Rhinolophus ferrumequinum: one gene and its partner. The protein of the gene in region 1 interacts with the protein of each later gene in a pairwise test. Links are inferred from orthologs where the notes say so. Each region holds a gene or a part of one and is shown on either strand. Other genes may lie near its edges.

Region 1 (7,882 bases):
CAATTTCTCTCTCTTTCTCTCCCCCACCACTTTATTTCTACTTTAAAAAGTATATTTTAACCAGAAGAAAATTATGCTAAATAATCTTTAACGTAATACAGGGATATAAAGTTAACTTTTTTTTTTTTTCAATCACTTCAGATTTCTTTTGGCCTGGCTTATTCTATTTAGTGAGAGGGATGATTTTGTTGTCAAGGATACAACAGCATGTTAAGTGCTTATTCTTGCATAAGCATCTTACCTAAAATACATCCTATACATAAAAATGTTTTCATTCAATACTAGTTAAATGTTGCTAACTTTATTAAAGCTTTGACAAAGGCAATCATACAAGCTATTGTAGTAAAGTTACTGTACTTAGCAACAGTAATCATAACAATGTAATATATCTTGGCGATATGCAGTGTTAACTTAGTACTGGCATCATGAATGTAACAGCTTATTATAGTAATTCCACTGTGCAGCTAGTGTATGTAACATGTACATTTTGAAATATAGTACTTGAATTTATAACAGTTTTATTTGCTTTGGGGCATTTTAAATTGGGATATGAATTTACCAGAGTAAATGATACCACCACAATAAAAAAAAAATTGTAACATGAACTCTAAAGCTGCATTGTATTTGAGTTTGATACACTGTTTTGAGTTAAATTGTTCCAATATGGTTAGTTCACATGGGGAATGTAACCACGGTGGAAAGACAATGTTTTTATACCTTTTCTAACAAAAGAAAAATTAAGAATGGTATATTCTAATAAATAATATATTCTAATAAAAAAATCAAAATAATCCCATCATCCTGGGAAAAGTATGACAGTAGCCACCATTTGCAGAGTGCTAACACAATTGTACTCAGCATACTTGTACATAATCACTAATCGTCATAACAATCCTACAAGATGCTCAATATTGTCATTTTATGGATGAATAGAAATTAATATTCTTCCATCTCTCTGGAAGAGTGAAAATGCATGCTTCTGTAACAAAATACAAAAATAAAGAGTAATTCCAATTACTAACAATTACAGGATCCCAGCCCCGGTTCTGTCACTAATTATCCATGGAACCAGGAAGGAATCATTGAAATTCCCTAGGCCTCAATTTTTATACTTGAAAACAAAGGGAAAGGTGGTGCTTGGTAATAATCTTACTCTGCCTACTTCGTAGAGTCGTTTGAAATAATACGTAAGTGAAAATATTTGGCAAAGCACTACTCAAATATACAGTACTATCTGAATAAGAATTATCATAGGGAGAGAAGAATTTGTGAGAACAATTATATATAATGCTGACAATGATTAAGTAATAGTTTAAAACACAACAGGTAATGAGAATATTTTAATTCTTCATTTGCTGCCAGAAGGGTTATTCTTTCCCAGTGAGTTACCCAATTTGAACAGTTCTACCATGATAGTTTTTAAAGTACAAAAATGTTCTCTAGAGTCAAAAAATGCTTAAATTAATTTGAAAGTTTCAAATGGAAATGTATTATGGTACATGGGTCAAAATTAAACTTTAGTTAAATATAAATAATATTCATACACGTTACTCAGATTACCAACATGTGAAATCAAAGGAAAGTTTGTGCACAGGGCAGAAATTGTTTCTGTGTTTACAAGTTATGGCCAGCATGTACACACAGATTGCCATATTCATGGGCATACTACAAATAAACATTTTGAAGTAACATATATGTGCAAATCGATACAAGCCTTTCCCCAGGTTCCCTTACACACGTAGACCCTAGACCCGGGTAGGCAAACTTTGGGCAGTACCATCCCTGTACCAACTATACTAGTTACAACTAATAAAAGCTGTACAACTAGGTACAACTAATAAAATTCCAAAAACAGAAGGCAGCTCGGCTCTGGCCTGCAGTTTGCCCACACCTGCCTGCCCTAGACCTTCAAATAAGGCGTGTGGGTGATAGATTATACCCCAGATTCTGCAGGACCATCCTGTTTCCAAACACTTTCATTCTTTTCCACACCACATGTCAAAGCCCACATCCTAGATCCTTAAGATATTTTTAAGGCAATGCAAAAGATTGTAAAAGCAAACCCTATTTTGTCCAATTCTAAAAAACACTGTGAATCACTCTGTCCTGGAAATCTGCTGGCCTTCAATATTTCACAACTATGTATAGCAATAGAAACTGAATACCCTGTTTTCATAGAAACAGCTGAGAAAATTAGCCTATTTCACCATTTTGCCTATAACCAAACTTTTGTAAGCTATTTGGCTCAGACAGAGCCAAATTTTAAGGGGGAAAAAATCCATTTAAATAAGCTTCATTGGAACATACTACAGACAAAATGCATGATTCAGTGGTTGGTTCAAAACCTTTCTCAACACACAGACCTCTTTGAGAATCTGTTCAATTACTATCTGGGGGAAAAAAGCATATAAAAAGTGTGCATAATTTTAAAAGTTCATAGATTTCGTAAAACCTATTCATGGACTGCAGGTTTTTCCTTGTTCTCTCCCATTTTTTCCTTTTTCTTTCTTCCTTCCTAGTCATGGTTCTCTACCTACCTCCAAGTCTGTCTCCCTCCCCAGCTTCTTCCCAGTCCTATAGAAAGAAATTGGAGACCTGGGCCTGAATCCCAGCTTAATCACTTACTAGTTTTGGCTTCCCTGTTTTGGGGGAAGAAGAACTTCAAGAAAGTATGAGTAGTGTCAGAAAGGAAAGGAGGCCGAGTTCCTGGACCTTGCTGCCAGAAACAAAACTAAACTACTTGGGCCTAAGACTATCTCTGGGGTTTACCACTAGGCCCCTGTGAGGGCTCCTAACAACCTTTATAGTTACAATAGTTTAAAGTCATATTAATGATGCATCCCATATTTTCCAGGATTAATCATGATTCCAAAAGTCTGTCTTGTGGTCCCCATAAATATTCCTGTACATGCAATATCGTATGTCCTGAGTTTGCTTTGGGGAAAAAAAAAAAAACCAAACCTCAGTGTAAGTAGAGTCTACCTAGGATTATTTCACTCTTAAGTCTAATTTCTTCAGGACTGGGGAAGAGATTTCTTTGTTTCTATTATATTTTGCCTATATTCTTCCTTTCTAAATTTTGCCAATCTTCAGGAGTGGAGAAAGGATCAAACGAAGAAAATGAGATAACCATTTATTCATTCCACAAATACTGAGCACTTGAATGTGCCATGTAGTGTTCCAGATGTCAAAAGTCGCCACCCTCAAGGAGCTTTCATTTTGATGGGGAAAAAAGACAAGAAAATAAATGCATAACGAATATAGCATGTTCGGTGGTGATTAGTGCTATACAAACTAACAAAGCACAGACCATGAACAGAGTGCAGGTTGAGGGAATGAACTGCAATTTTAAATAGGTCAGGAAAGACCTACTGAGGTGATATATGAGTAAAGATGAGGAGGTGAGAGAGTATATCAATGTCACTGCTCCACTCAGGTCTCCTCCTTTCCTTTTCCACCATTTTCGTGCCACCCGTTTCCCAGTGCAGTGTGCTTTGTTCCCAACATCCAACACCCGCAGCCCTTCTTCAGAGGATGCCTAGAGATGACACAACATAGCACCAAGCCTCGCAGGGCCCTTGCCCCATCCTTCCGCCATAACCCCAAAAGCAGGAAGAAACCAGCTGGAGTTGCTGGATGAGGCCAGAGAAAGGAGGTACTGGGGTCCCTGCTGAGGCCTTCCTGTATCTTACATTAATCCTTTACGTCTCTGATGCTTTTATATTAAAAAAGCAACTTCATGTACACAATCTCAAGCACCAGACTGCCTGTTTGTTATCCTTTGATGATCTCTTGCAATCTTTCCCTTCCACACTCTCTTTAACTAATTTCTATGTATGCCTATAAAAATATTGGAAGTGGAAGACTCAGACAGGGTTTCACTTGTCCCAGTCTTTACAAACTTCTAGAGATGCCCCGGTCATTGCTGGCACACCCCAGATGGTGGCAAAGGGCAGCCCAAGAATTCACTAAGTCACTCAAAATGTCAACACTGTTTTCAAATAATTACAGGTCAGGGAGCCCATCTGTTCCTTCTTCCTCCACAGTGGCCCACAGTGGCCAGGTGTTTATACATCCAAGGAAGGGGCTACTAATTGGCAAACCAACCTACTCATGATTTAGTAGAAAGAGCCCTGGACTAGACCAGAAAGCTGCCTCAATACACTTTTTATTGAGCATCTAACAATGGGTCAAGCCCTTAGCAGGCACTGGTAATAGCAAGATGACCAATGCAGATGGCTGTACTTTTGCTTTCAAGACACTCAGAATGCACGGGAGATGACAAACACACTCCGCTACCTACAGCGGATCAGGTACAGACTACAATAAATTGTAGAAGAATCATGATGGTGGAGAGAAAGGATTATAGGGGGTCGGGAGGGCAGGGGGGCATCACAACGAGGCCTATGAGCTGGATTCAGAAAGACAGATGAGTTTAAGCTGAAAGTGGGGGACAGTCTTTCCTGGCGGAGGGAACGGAATGAGCCAAGACAGCGTTGGACACAGACTAGTGGCACCGCGGGCGCTCCAAGGGCACCCAAGCTGGAGCAAGAGGATCAGCATCTCTGGGCTTTGGCTCAGAAACCCGAGGCAATTGCACCAGCCAGACTCGCATTTGGAAACACTGAAAAGCCCGTGTTGCTGTTCGCCGAGGCTAATGCCCGGCCGTTCAAGAAGGAAGCCCTACGAGAAGCCCGTGGGGACGGAAATTCCGCGAACCGAGCGCTCCGCGCCTCCATCCTCGGCTTGCTTAGGTATACGCTCCCGCTCACAGAGAAGGAGGAAAGAAAAAGACCGGAAAGCAAAACGCGTGGAGGCGGGCGCGGCCAGCGCGGACTCAGTGGTTCCGGGGCCTCGCTCCTGGGCGACTCCCGCAGTCTTCCGGCCCCGCGCGCGCGGAGCCGAGGCCGTGGCTCCCACCCACCCGGCGCAGCTCCGCACCTCCCGCCGCGTCGCCCGCTGCCGCTGCAGCTCCTCGCGGCCGCGGAAGCCAGGCCTCTCCGGCTGTCGGGCCCCCTCCGCCCTCTCCGCCGTGACGAATCGGCGTCCAGCTGGGAAAATACCCAAACTCGGCGTTTTAAGGAAAGCCTCAAAAAAATCTTTGACTGTACGAAGCATCAGCACGTCCTCAGTAGAAGGTTTATTTTTGTAAAGAAAGTCGGGTGGGGCCTGGACAGAAATTACGAAGAGTGTTGAAAGTGCGAGTGCGGAAGCTCGGGACGCGAGGGGCGGGGCGTGTGCGGGACAAAGGGAAGCGAGGCCGGAGCTGCCGGCGCTTTTTCTGCCCGCGGGTGAGTGTTTCCGACTGGGCGCCAGTGGATCTGGAGGGTGGCAAGTCGTGGTGTTCGGGCTTGGCTGGACTCCGAGTCCCCGGGGGTTGCTGGGGCTCAGGCTTGGCCGCGGGGCCAGAGCTGGGGGCCGGTTGCGGCCTCCCTGAGGCCTAGCGGAGCGAGGGTTGGGAGGGAGCCCCATCTGGGTTCCCTCCTCCGCGGCAAGATTTGCCCCTTCCATTAACCCCGCGAAATTGGTCAAAGCAGCTATGTATACCCCGCTTTAATGGAATTGCTGGTAACGTGCATCCTCCACAACAAATCTAAAGATCCTCAGGGAGCCCTCGGGACGAGCCAAGCCCGTGGTCCTCACCCCCCAGAATGTGGTTTCCCTTTGGTTCAGGCAGCAACCTGAGGACTCACGGTCCTAGAGTGGCGTAAAGAGCGAAAGCTCTGCAACGGTTTGGCCTCGGTTTGAAACCCAAACCTGTCTCTTCCTGGCTGTGTGTTTTTTTTGAGAAGTCATTTAAACTCGAGGAGACTCCCTCTTTTCATCTGTAAAATGGGAATAACAGTGCATATCTTGTTGATAGTTGTAATTATTAAACGAGATAGTGTAAGTAATTAGCCTGTCCCGTATAAAGTATCCAACAAATACTTATCTCGTATTTTATGCCAGGCACTGGGGACGGATCCAGTGGTAGACAAGCCTGCTCTTAGAATTTATGGTATAGCAAAGGAGAATAATAATTTTAAAGAATTAACAATGAGTGATGTACCAAGGAGCTTGTGGAGGTTACTGTCAGGGCAAGGCCTGCTGGATATTGACAGCTCCCTGAATGTGAGCAGGAAGGAAATCTGCACCAGAGCCAATGGTTTCTCCCTGTTCCTTAAGGAAAGAGGAAGAGACCCAGGTTAGGCTATTGAGAAAATAAACTACAGTGTTTCTTTCCACCGCAGGCCTCTTTTATTCTTTATGCTCCAGGGAATTCCCTGAAAATGCAAAATAGAAGCAAAATCGTGTTTGGGTCACGTAATGTTGGATGCAAGTACTCTGGTAGTCATGGAAGTTACTTGCCTTTTTTCTAAAAATGAATGTGTGTGCCTGTTCGCACTGTGGGATGTATATTGACAGCAGGAACAAGCTCACATATGTATGGTAATACTAGGACAAAATTTATTAAGAATTGAGCTAGGTACTGGGACTCCAATAATCAATTAGATGGTCCCTAATCCAGGCAGCACACAATCTAGCCATATTAACAGGTATTATGTGATATAATAATAGCAGAGATGTATATGAATTGAGCAGGAGTACAGATTAGGAAACAGTTCTGCCAAGGTAATTAATCAAGAAAGCGCCACTGAGGAGGTATGTTTTGAAATGGGATGTGAAGGGTTAATAGGAGTTTGTCAAGTAGATTCTCAGAATTTATTCCCAGCAATTATAAAGCTATTTACCACTGTAAGAAAATGTAAAGCCCATTAGCATACCGTTACATTACCTTTCGCACTGCCTGGAGGAGTAAAACACACTGCGCCATTTTTATAGTTGTTACTCTTAACGGAGGGGAGAGCAGCTACTCTACTGATCAGGGAGCTGTCAGTATCTGATAGGCCTTGTTGGGGTGGGCCCTGACGATACATCACATTCTATTGTCATTATATTTTTATCAGTCTGATTAATGTGTACATGGCATCCACAAAATGTTTTCCCATACAAGAGGTGGCTCAGTGGCATAAGAAACAACTTGCACGTACATGCCTAATACTACTTTTAATATCCCTATCGTAATTTGTTTTAGTAGTTTAATTCTGATCATCCAAATGAACTAAAGAACTAGTAAAATATGCAAAAGGCTTGGTTACTAGAAGATAATGTAATTTTACTAAGAAATACCAATTAAATTACCCTATTCTTTAGGAAAACATTCTCTTATGCTTGCTGAGTTTTGATTCTCTTTTTTTTTCTTTTTTTTCCTTTTTGTTGTTTTAGTGTCTCAGATTCATTCTTAAGGAACTGAGAACTTAATCTTCCAAAATGTCAAGTAAGTTTCATTTTTTATATTTATCAATCTATATTAATAAGAGACTAATGCCCTAGCAAATGGGAATTCCAAAATACTCTCATTTTTTTTCTTCAAAACAGGACCATTGGTAGTTTTGTTGCATAGTATTATATCTCAGTTGTTTACAAGAAGTTATTTATTTTCTTTCAAACAGAAAGACCATCTTATGCCCCACCTCCCACCCCAGCTCCTGCAACAGTAAGTTTTAATTTTCTTGTTAATGTAATAGCCAAGTCTGGCCTTGATACAAAAACCCAAATGTCTTCCAGGAACAGTCACTCAATCATCACAGCAACAGGATGAAAAATTCAGCTAAAAAACAGCACTTCCTACTAAATAAAATAACTCTTTGCATCTTACCTTGAACCAACCCCAACATTTAAAGAAACATACTACTGAAATGCCAACCTCCTATGCTCAGTTCTTTTTTTTAATAGGAAATAAGTAACAAGTTTTAACACTTCTTTCTTGTTGATCTCTATTAAGAGTCTTTAAAGTTGACACTGAATGAATGCTCATTCTGGCATTTATTATTTTCAAACC
Region 2 (7,894 bases), on another chromosome or scaffold:
ACAAATTGATGAAGCATGAAAAATAAAAACATGTAAGAATAATCTTCCAGAGTGCCACAATTACATTAGTTATATTAAAGTCTTCAATTTAGAAAACTTAAAACATAAGACTAAGGTTTTACCTATAATTCCAGTCTTTAGTTTCGATAGAATTTTTGTTCTCAGAAATGTATGAACTTGTTATATATTCAATCCACTTAAAAGTATAGCATTTCTTTTTATGACATGGTAGCAATAAATGATTTATTTTCTTTAAATTATGGACAGAAACTTAGTGCTAATGAGTTTCATGGTATAGAATATATAACATAACATAGTATTTCATTATAGAACTGTCTTGCATTAGTGTACCTGTATATCTTATAGTTAGGCATGCAAAGGAGTCAATTTTCAACTGTAAAAAATTTCAATGCATACATTTATTAATGAAAATAACATACAAAGTGAGTGCAAATGAAAATGTAGGAATTGGAGGTAATTACTCCCCATGTACATCAATATAAGAAAATTTTCTTCAATAATTGGAGGCAAAACAGGTGAACAAAAGGAAGTTCAATCAGAAGTTTTTAAATTTGAAACGTAGTCAACATCTTCCTAATTTTAACACTCCCCCTACACACACATAATTAGAATTTCATAAAATGTATGTGAAAAGCAAGTGGAATTATGGAAAAATGCATGTATTTTGAATTTTTAATTAAATCAGTCATAATCTGTATTTCATTCCAGTTTTCTGAAAATTATTTCCTACATGGCACTTGAACTGAATTGAAGAAAATCACCAACTTCTGAAAGAAATCATATATCTAAAAGTAGGAAGAGATAGAATTATAAAAATAAAATATGTTAGATATTATTTTACACTTTCAGAAGTCATGTTTAAGTATTCATTTCTTGTAGTATATATAGAAACACAACAATTTTTTTGTGAAAACAATTAGTGTTATGTAAAAAGTGTTATTTAAAAATCAGAACAGTATATAGAATCACTAAATAACCTGCATTAGCCATAGCAAAATTGTTCTTCAAATTTTATAATGCATAATTCACGGAGAAAGGCAATTTCCTAGTTTTAAAAAGAGGAGTGTATCATAAATCATATAAATTATTGGGTATTTAGCATCTATTAATATTTTCAAAATTCTTTATTTCATAAAAACCAGTTCAAGGGCATGTTATTTCTTCGAGAAATATAGCAGAAATAATATTTTTATCCTCAGCAAAACCTTCAGAGACAAATTCCAGCTTCAATTTAATTTTCCATACTTAAATTTATATATTATGACTGTATTTTACCTAGGCAAATTTAGCAGGTAAAATGCAAAGTAAAGTTTATAATATCTGTAGCTAATGATCATATTTAATTTTAAATATTTTATTACCATCATACCTCATGTCAAATGAACAGAAGAATGGCAACTCAAAAGAATCATGATTCTGAAAATAAAATTTAAACAAAGTTTTCACATTGCTTAAGCTCTATTACACTTCAAGTAATTTTAATTAAAAATATCTTTGCATTATTATTGAATATCACTTCATTCAAACAGAAGAAATAATAGGTATGTGTGTTTATCAAATTTAAAGAGCATGTGTTTAAAGTAATTTTGATTATGTTTCTTACAAAAGATGAGCAACTTACATTTTTCATATATTCACCCTCTTGTTATAATGTGCTGCTTGATATCAAACCTTGCATAAAATACTGTTATTAATAGAATATTTTTCAGGAAAATTCAAGTATATTTTACATATATGATCAATACTATATTATATATAGTTTAAAATTAATGCTATGTAAATTCTATAATAAATTTTGTGATTTTTACCATTGTTCATGATATAGGTGAAAAAGCAACTTTCAACATCAGATTTTGTTGATGTGGACCCTAAAGTAGCTTTATAGGAAATGCTAGGGATTTTTCCTGTTATTGTATTTTTCAAAAAATTATGGTATAGAAAATAAAATCAGTGTTTTATTGTATTCCAATAATCCTAAGCAATGAAAATTTGGGGGGAAAAAAAACTTATGAGGTGATTAATATATACTTGGAAATTCAGAGGAAAAAAAGTCATATTAATTTTGGAGTGTATCAAGAACTCTTTTTTAGTCCTTTCTCCTTTGAATCACATTTTTTTCTCTTCCAAATAACATTTTCCTTATATTATGCTTTTTATTAGAAATATGGACTCCATAATTTCACTGATATTATATATTTTGGGTCTTCAATTAGAAAGACTATTCCTGTTAGCTTTATTTTAATGTGTGCCTTTTACAGAGACTCTTCCCTTTCTAATCTTTTCTACTTTTTTTTTTCCTCTCCCATACTTCTAGCCCCACAGTTCCAGAGGCTGACTGACTAAGGCATGCTGTACAGAAATTTCTGGACATGTTGTTAACATCTGACACAGTGAGTGAGAAAAAAGCCAGCAAAGTCACCAGGCAGGTTCAAGAAAAAGAGGCAGCTTCTGGAGATGAAAAGTTTGTGTGTTTTTGCTAGTTGCTAGTTACCTGCAACACACTGGGTAAATTCAAATCCATTCACTTCTCAATTGCTTGCTTTCTCTAAACCACTATAATGCAAACCAAAAGGACCTTTATGGGTGTTTTTTATTGATGTCTGCAGATCAAGTGTATCTTTAGTCTTGCCTGACATTTTCCACAATGCTTTTAGTAGACAGCACTGTATTATGTAAATATTTCTGGTTACTGTTTATGGAGGTGGTTGCCTAAATTTCTCTCTGGATAAAGCCTTTAATGCTTTCACCCAGAATCCATGGAGGAGCCATCCGAGTTTGGGAAGTTTAGTGTTGCCCTTTGTACTTCAACTTTTAATATCAGGGCACATATTGAAACCATAAACACAATGAAAATTCAAAAAATATTCCGACAATATTAGAAGAATATACCCCCTCCTTTTTTATCCTTAAAGAGCCAAGGGCATGGGGAGTGGCAGGAAGAAACATTCTTAAGATCTAAGCTCTGGACGCCATCCTGTGAGTGCTTAAAACCCTTAGAAACGTGCAACCTGAAGAACACCCCCTTTCGAAGTCTAAAACAATATTAGATTCCCAAAATATCGGCAAAGAAAGTCTTACCGTCAAATGCTTGCAGCAGGTTCCAGCTCAGACCCAGACTGAAAAGCTGAGCAGCTGGTGAACAAAAGTTTTAGCTTTTTTTTTTTTTTTTTTTTTAACGAAGTCTGCAAAACTAATTTCCCTCAAAATAGGGCTCAATTTCCGTTAAAGAAAGCAGCACTTACAAATCTCAGAATTCCTGATCACCCCCTCCCTGTCCCACCTCTAAGCCATGGAAAACAATTCGAACTTTCACACGAATGTAAAGGTTTATTGCGAAGCCACTATTCTGCTGTACGACTTAAAAGAAAAGGGAGATAGACTGAAAGCCTGAGGGACTGGGCGAGGGAAAAGGTCCTGCCTTGGGAACACTTCTCAAAGATTAATCAATACTTTTGCCCTAATTCAAAACAGATGGCCGGCCTAGTTTGCTGTCCCCATTAACCCCATTAACAACTTCAAAGACCTGTTCCCCATCCTCGGGACACCAGAGACAATGAAAATAAGGAGGCGACGCTGCTGGTGGCACATTCACATTCCGGGTCTTGGGCGGGATAGGTGAGCACGGATATTCTCCTGATGCGACCTGTCCCAGGCAGGACTCGACTGTTCCTGCAGCTCGTTACCGGGGCTTGCTTGCCTCGTGTAAAGGACTCTGCCCCCAGCAGACAATGTCGCCTCTCAAGTGGCAGAATCAAAGTCCAGCTGTCGCTCGCGCTAATTCATTGGTGGCAAGTTTTCTAACTCATTTTCTATGATGCAAGATTAACCAGGTAGATATAAAATTCCCAATTTACTGAACTTAAGGGAGGCGGGGGCTATCAAAATGTAATATTTCTCAGTAAATGGAACCACGACCAGAGCCGGAGAGGGGCAAGGGGTGCTATCAGCTGATTTATTTTTGACCGGAGAGGGTGGATTTCTGGAGGTATATGATGGGACATGGGCTGGCTCCTAAGGGGAAAGATTGGAAATGTGCGTGCAATATACACATCTCATGTGACCGGGACGAAGTCGCTTTGGAATATTCCTGACCCAGGGACAGTTCTTAGTGGACACGTGACTAGGAAATTCACCGGGACCAGGAAAGCAGGGGACAAGGCATTTGAGGTAAGCAGGGGAGAAGAGACCCCACCTGGCACCGCAGGTGACACTGCCAGAGCCTGGACATCTGCAGCTGTCCTGCCCGGTGCTACCTACCCCCCAATCCCCGCCGCCAATAGATCTCTCCTTTCCGCATTCAGAATGGCTATTTCCCGCCCGCCGGGCACATCCCTGCAACTTCGGATCTGGTGTCCGAACCCATTATCAACGCACCCACAAACACCACCTGCAAAAAGTTAGGCGCGCCACTGCGCCCAGGACATGAGGAAACGCGAAGCCAAACTAGCTCCCTTTCGTGCTCCTCAAGAGCTAGGCGTAACCCTATCTTTCCCGCAGGTGACAGTGTCCAAGTGGCACTGACAAGACACCTTTACTGAGAGAAGCGAGCGCGCTGGGCACCGGGTGAGGGGCTGTGGCTGGCGTGCACCGCCGCGCGCCTTTGCCGCCCGCGCCGGGGGAGGCGAGCCGCTGCCCCGCGGCTCGGGTTCAGGCGCCCGGCGCGCCGCTTGCACGCCTGGCGGCCGACAGGGGCGGGCGGGCGTGGACTCGCTGAGTGAGTCCAGCGGGTTAGGAAGTGGAACTGGGAGCGCGTGGCTCTCAGACTGAGCCGGAGTTTTGGAGGGAGTTTGCATGTGGTCAGCGCTGGGCTCCTAAGCCAGCCCCCAGCTCACATTACACTCTATTTATAACCTCTCAGAGCCGTTTCCCCCTGAAAGCAGTTCTCTGGGACCACCTTCTTTTGGCTTCAACCTCTCCTACTCTTGACATCTGAGTAGCTCAGAGGGAAGCTCCTTCAGGTCAGAGTGTTTATATGTAAAGGAGACTGGCCACTAGGGCTCAGGACCGGGATTATCAGAGCTCTGCAGAAACGCGGGCGGCTATTGCTCTGGGAGGGGGAAAAGTCACACGGTGTCCAGTGAAAAGTGACAGAAGGTGGTGGCGTTTGGAACCGTCGTGAAGTCTTCTGCCTGGAACCCGAGACTTGCATGCTATGGAACACCCGCTCTTTGGCTGCCTGCGCAGCCCTCACGCCACCGCGCAAGGCTTGCACCCGTTCTCCCAGTCCTCTCTCGCCCTCCATGGAAGATCTGACCATATGTCCTATCCCGAGCTCTCCACTTCTTCCTCGTCTTGCATAATCGCGGGATACCCCAACGAGGAGGGCATGTTCGCCAGCCAACATCACAGGGGCCACCACCACCACCATCATCACCATCACCACCACCACCAGCAGCAGCAGCACCAAGCTCTGCAAACCAACTGGCACCTCCCGCAGATGTCCTCCCCCCCGAGCGCGGCTCGGCACAGTCTCTGCCTCCAGCCGGACTCGGGAGGGCCCCCGGAGATGGGGAGCAGCCCGCCAGTCCTGTGTTCCAACTCTTCCAGCTTGGGTTCCAGCACCCCGACCGGGGCCGCGTGCGCGCCGGGGGACTACGGCCGCCAGGCGCTGTCACCCGCGGAGGCGGAGAAGAGAAGTGGCGGCAAGAGGAAAAGCGATAGCTCAGGTAAGGGCGCGACGGGCACCTTGGGCGAAAGGGGCGGAGAGATGTCCAGGAAGATTCTCTCTCAATAGTGAGGCAGCAGGAAAGACGGCGCAGGTCTTGCCCTTTCTGGCTTCCCGCCGCTAAATTCCGTGAGGCTGCTTTGGTCCTGTTATTGGGGGACACGTGTTTCTCCGAGCGCAACACTGTAGCCAACAGCAGAAACCTCTCCAAGGTTCAAAGTGGTTTACCAGAGTATTGAGAAAAGAAAAAAAAAGGACAAGTGACAGTATGTGAAATCGATTGAGAAGCGTGACTTTCCCTCTGAGCGATAGGGAGAGGAGTGCACCCTGGGATGCAGCGTTCGCTGAGCGTGCGTGCGGGTGTCGCTCCTTGACTTTTTCCCTTGCAAATTCCCGACTCTGAGTGGCTCGATTTTTCCCATCGTTAACCGGATTTCCAAATTATTGCACAATATTTGGAACTTGCAATGGAACTTGGCAGAGAGTATGAGAAAAAAAAAGTTTATTTATTTATTTATTTTTTATTTCTGATTTCAGAGTACTTTAAATAGTACCTATTCCAAATGGTAAAAATTTCCCTTTCTTGGGGAAGAAGACCTAATGTAGGAATTCAAAGGATTTTAAAGAACGTATCAGAGAATTGTAAATAAATACATGCTCAGACTCTTGAAGAAAGACGAGTCTTAATAGTAATTGCATTGGTGTGGTACTAGTCTTAAGAGAGAATCTGAATTTCAAAGGTGGAAAGTGATATTCTCTTCCAATTGAGAATTATCGGAGACAAGTACTGGGAAACAAACAGCAACCCCAGTAGTGCAAGTTCGCTGCATCTCTGAGGCTGGTATTCACGGGTGCGCGCAGGAGGCGCTCATCTACGTGGGGATCAATTGAATAGCCACGCAAAAGGGGAACCTTGCTGAACGCGGATGCTTGAAGGCACAGTCGCCAAGGAAACTGTAGCAATCCAGAGAAACTAAAGTTTTCCAGGTTACTTCCGAAAAGCCCTTACCTAGGTGTCTCATTATGAAATTGTTAAAAGATGCTTCACAATTAAGGGGGTTCCGAGTTTTCTTCTGCAGCTATAGCGCAACCTGAGTTCCGTCTTTTTGGAAGGTGTCATTTGTTTAATATAGTATTTACATATTTTTCTACCTTTGCGGAATTGGTTTAACAGTCCTAGAAGGTAATTCCAAATATTGGTTTGAAGGATTGACGACATGTTTATGCTTTATAATTCTTTAGGTACGATTCCTCGTTAAATGACAATGATTCAGCCGCACATTTCAGGTTCCTTTGCAGCAATGCTATCAATTGTTCTTCACCGTTAGTTATGGGAAATCTAACTTTTACTTGCCAAGGTCAAAGGTGAACTTTTAATGCTTGACTCGCAAATTAGCTTATATCTGAGAAAGTTACCAGCGGTATCACTCATATTTAATGGTTTTTACTAACCATAAGTAAAACTCTTAAGACAAAGTTGAAAGGTTAATCATAGCAAGCAATTTTCCTTCTTCATTAGAAAATAAGTCAATTTTAGAATGTAGTGATCCTTTCATAGACTCAAAATTTGATAGCAATAAAACTGCTTTTGGAAACAGAGCCGAGTTCGGATTGGTCAGTGCACTTTTGCAATTATCAAGAAGCTCTTACTGTTCATTTTACTTTCTGCAATGAGAAATCTGTGTGATGGATTGTTCCTTCTGCTTCCTGAACTGCACCACTGTACCTAACTTTCTTAGGGCAAACTGAATTTTCATATAGACACGTGTTATTTTGGTTGGGAGGAAACAGAAAAAGTGGGATCTAAGAACTGTTTCCCTTAAATTATTTTAATAACAACTTTCTTAAGAACATTGGTTATATCAATAGTTTTGCTCTCCGTTGGTGGGAAATAACCAAATTAATATAACAATGAATAATTAGAGTACTGGAAAAATAAACAAACACAAAAGTTTGCGTCAACTACATAAAATATTAAGATTACATCTTAAGTGGGAAACACGGTTAGTTATCACCAAGGATAGAATCACTGGGGAGGAAGAATGAGTGTTTTCTTTGATGAGATATTTTGAAAGAAATTTTGACTAACTAAAAGGAAATATCACAATAGTGTCTAGTTAAAAATCTATATAATGTAAAAATATGTCTAGTTAATGAAAATAAAATTTAATTTGCAATTTCATTATTTGAGTTAATTAATATTTGTTG

Evidence for each region.
Region 2: the proteins of SMARCE1 (region 1) and MEOX2 interact in binary tests that used the Homo sapiens proteins (3 or more experiments, as listed by UniProt). The two-hybrid records come from large-scale screens. The link is inferred for Rhinolophus ferrumequinum from reciprocal best matches to the Homo sapiens genes SMARCE1 and MEOX2.

What each region holds. Positions count from the first base shown.
Region 1 is NC_046304.1:36,993,322-37,001,203, reverse strand, and holds the start of SMARCE1 (SWI/SNF-related matrix-associated actin-dependent regulator of chromatin subfamily E member 1), read left to right. Parts: upstream 1-4,862; 5' UTR 4,863-5,291; intron 5,292-7,266; 5' UTR 7,267-7,311; coding exon 7,312-7,318; intron 7,319-7,493; coding exon 7,494-7,537; intron 7,538-7,882. UniProt on the Homo sapiens protein: Involved in transcriptional activation and repression of select genes by chromatin remodeling (alteration of DNA-nucleosome topology).
Region 2 is NC_046303.1:23,143,269-23,151,162, forward strand, and holds the start of MEOX2 (homeobox protein MOX-2), read left to right. Parts: upstream 1-4,893; 5' UTR 4,894-5,173; coding exon 5,174-5,687; intron 5,688-7,894. UniProt on the Homo sapiens protein: Mesodermal transcription factor that plays a key role in somitogenesis and somitogenesis and limb muscle differentiation. Required during limb development for normal appendicular muscle formation and for the normal regulation of myogenic genes.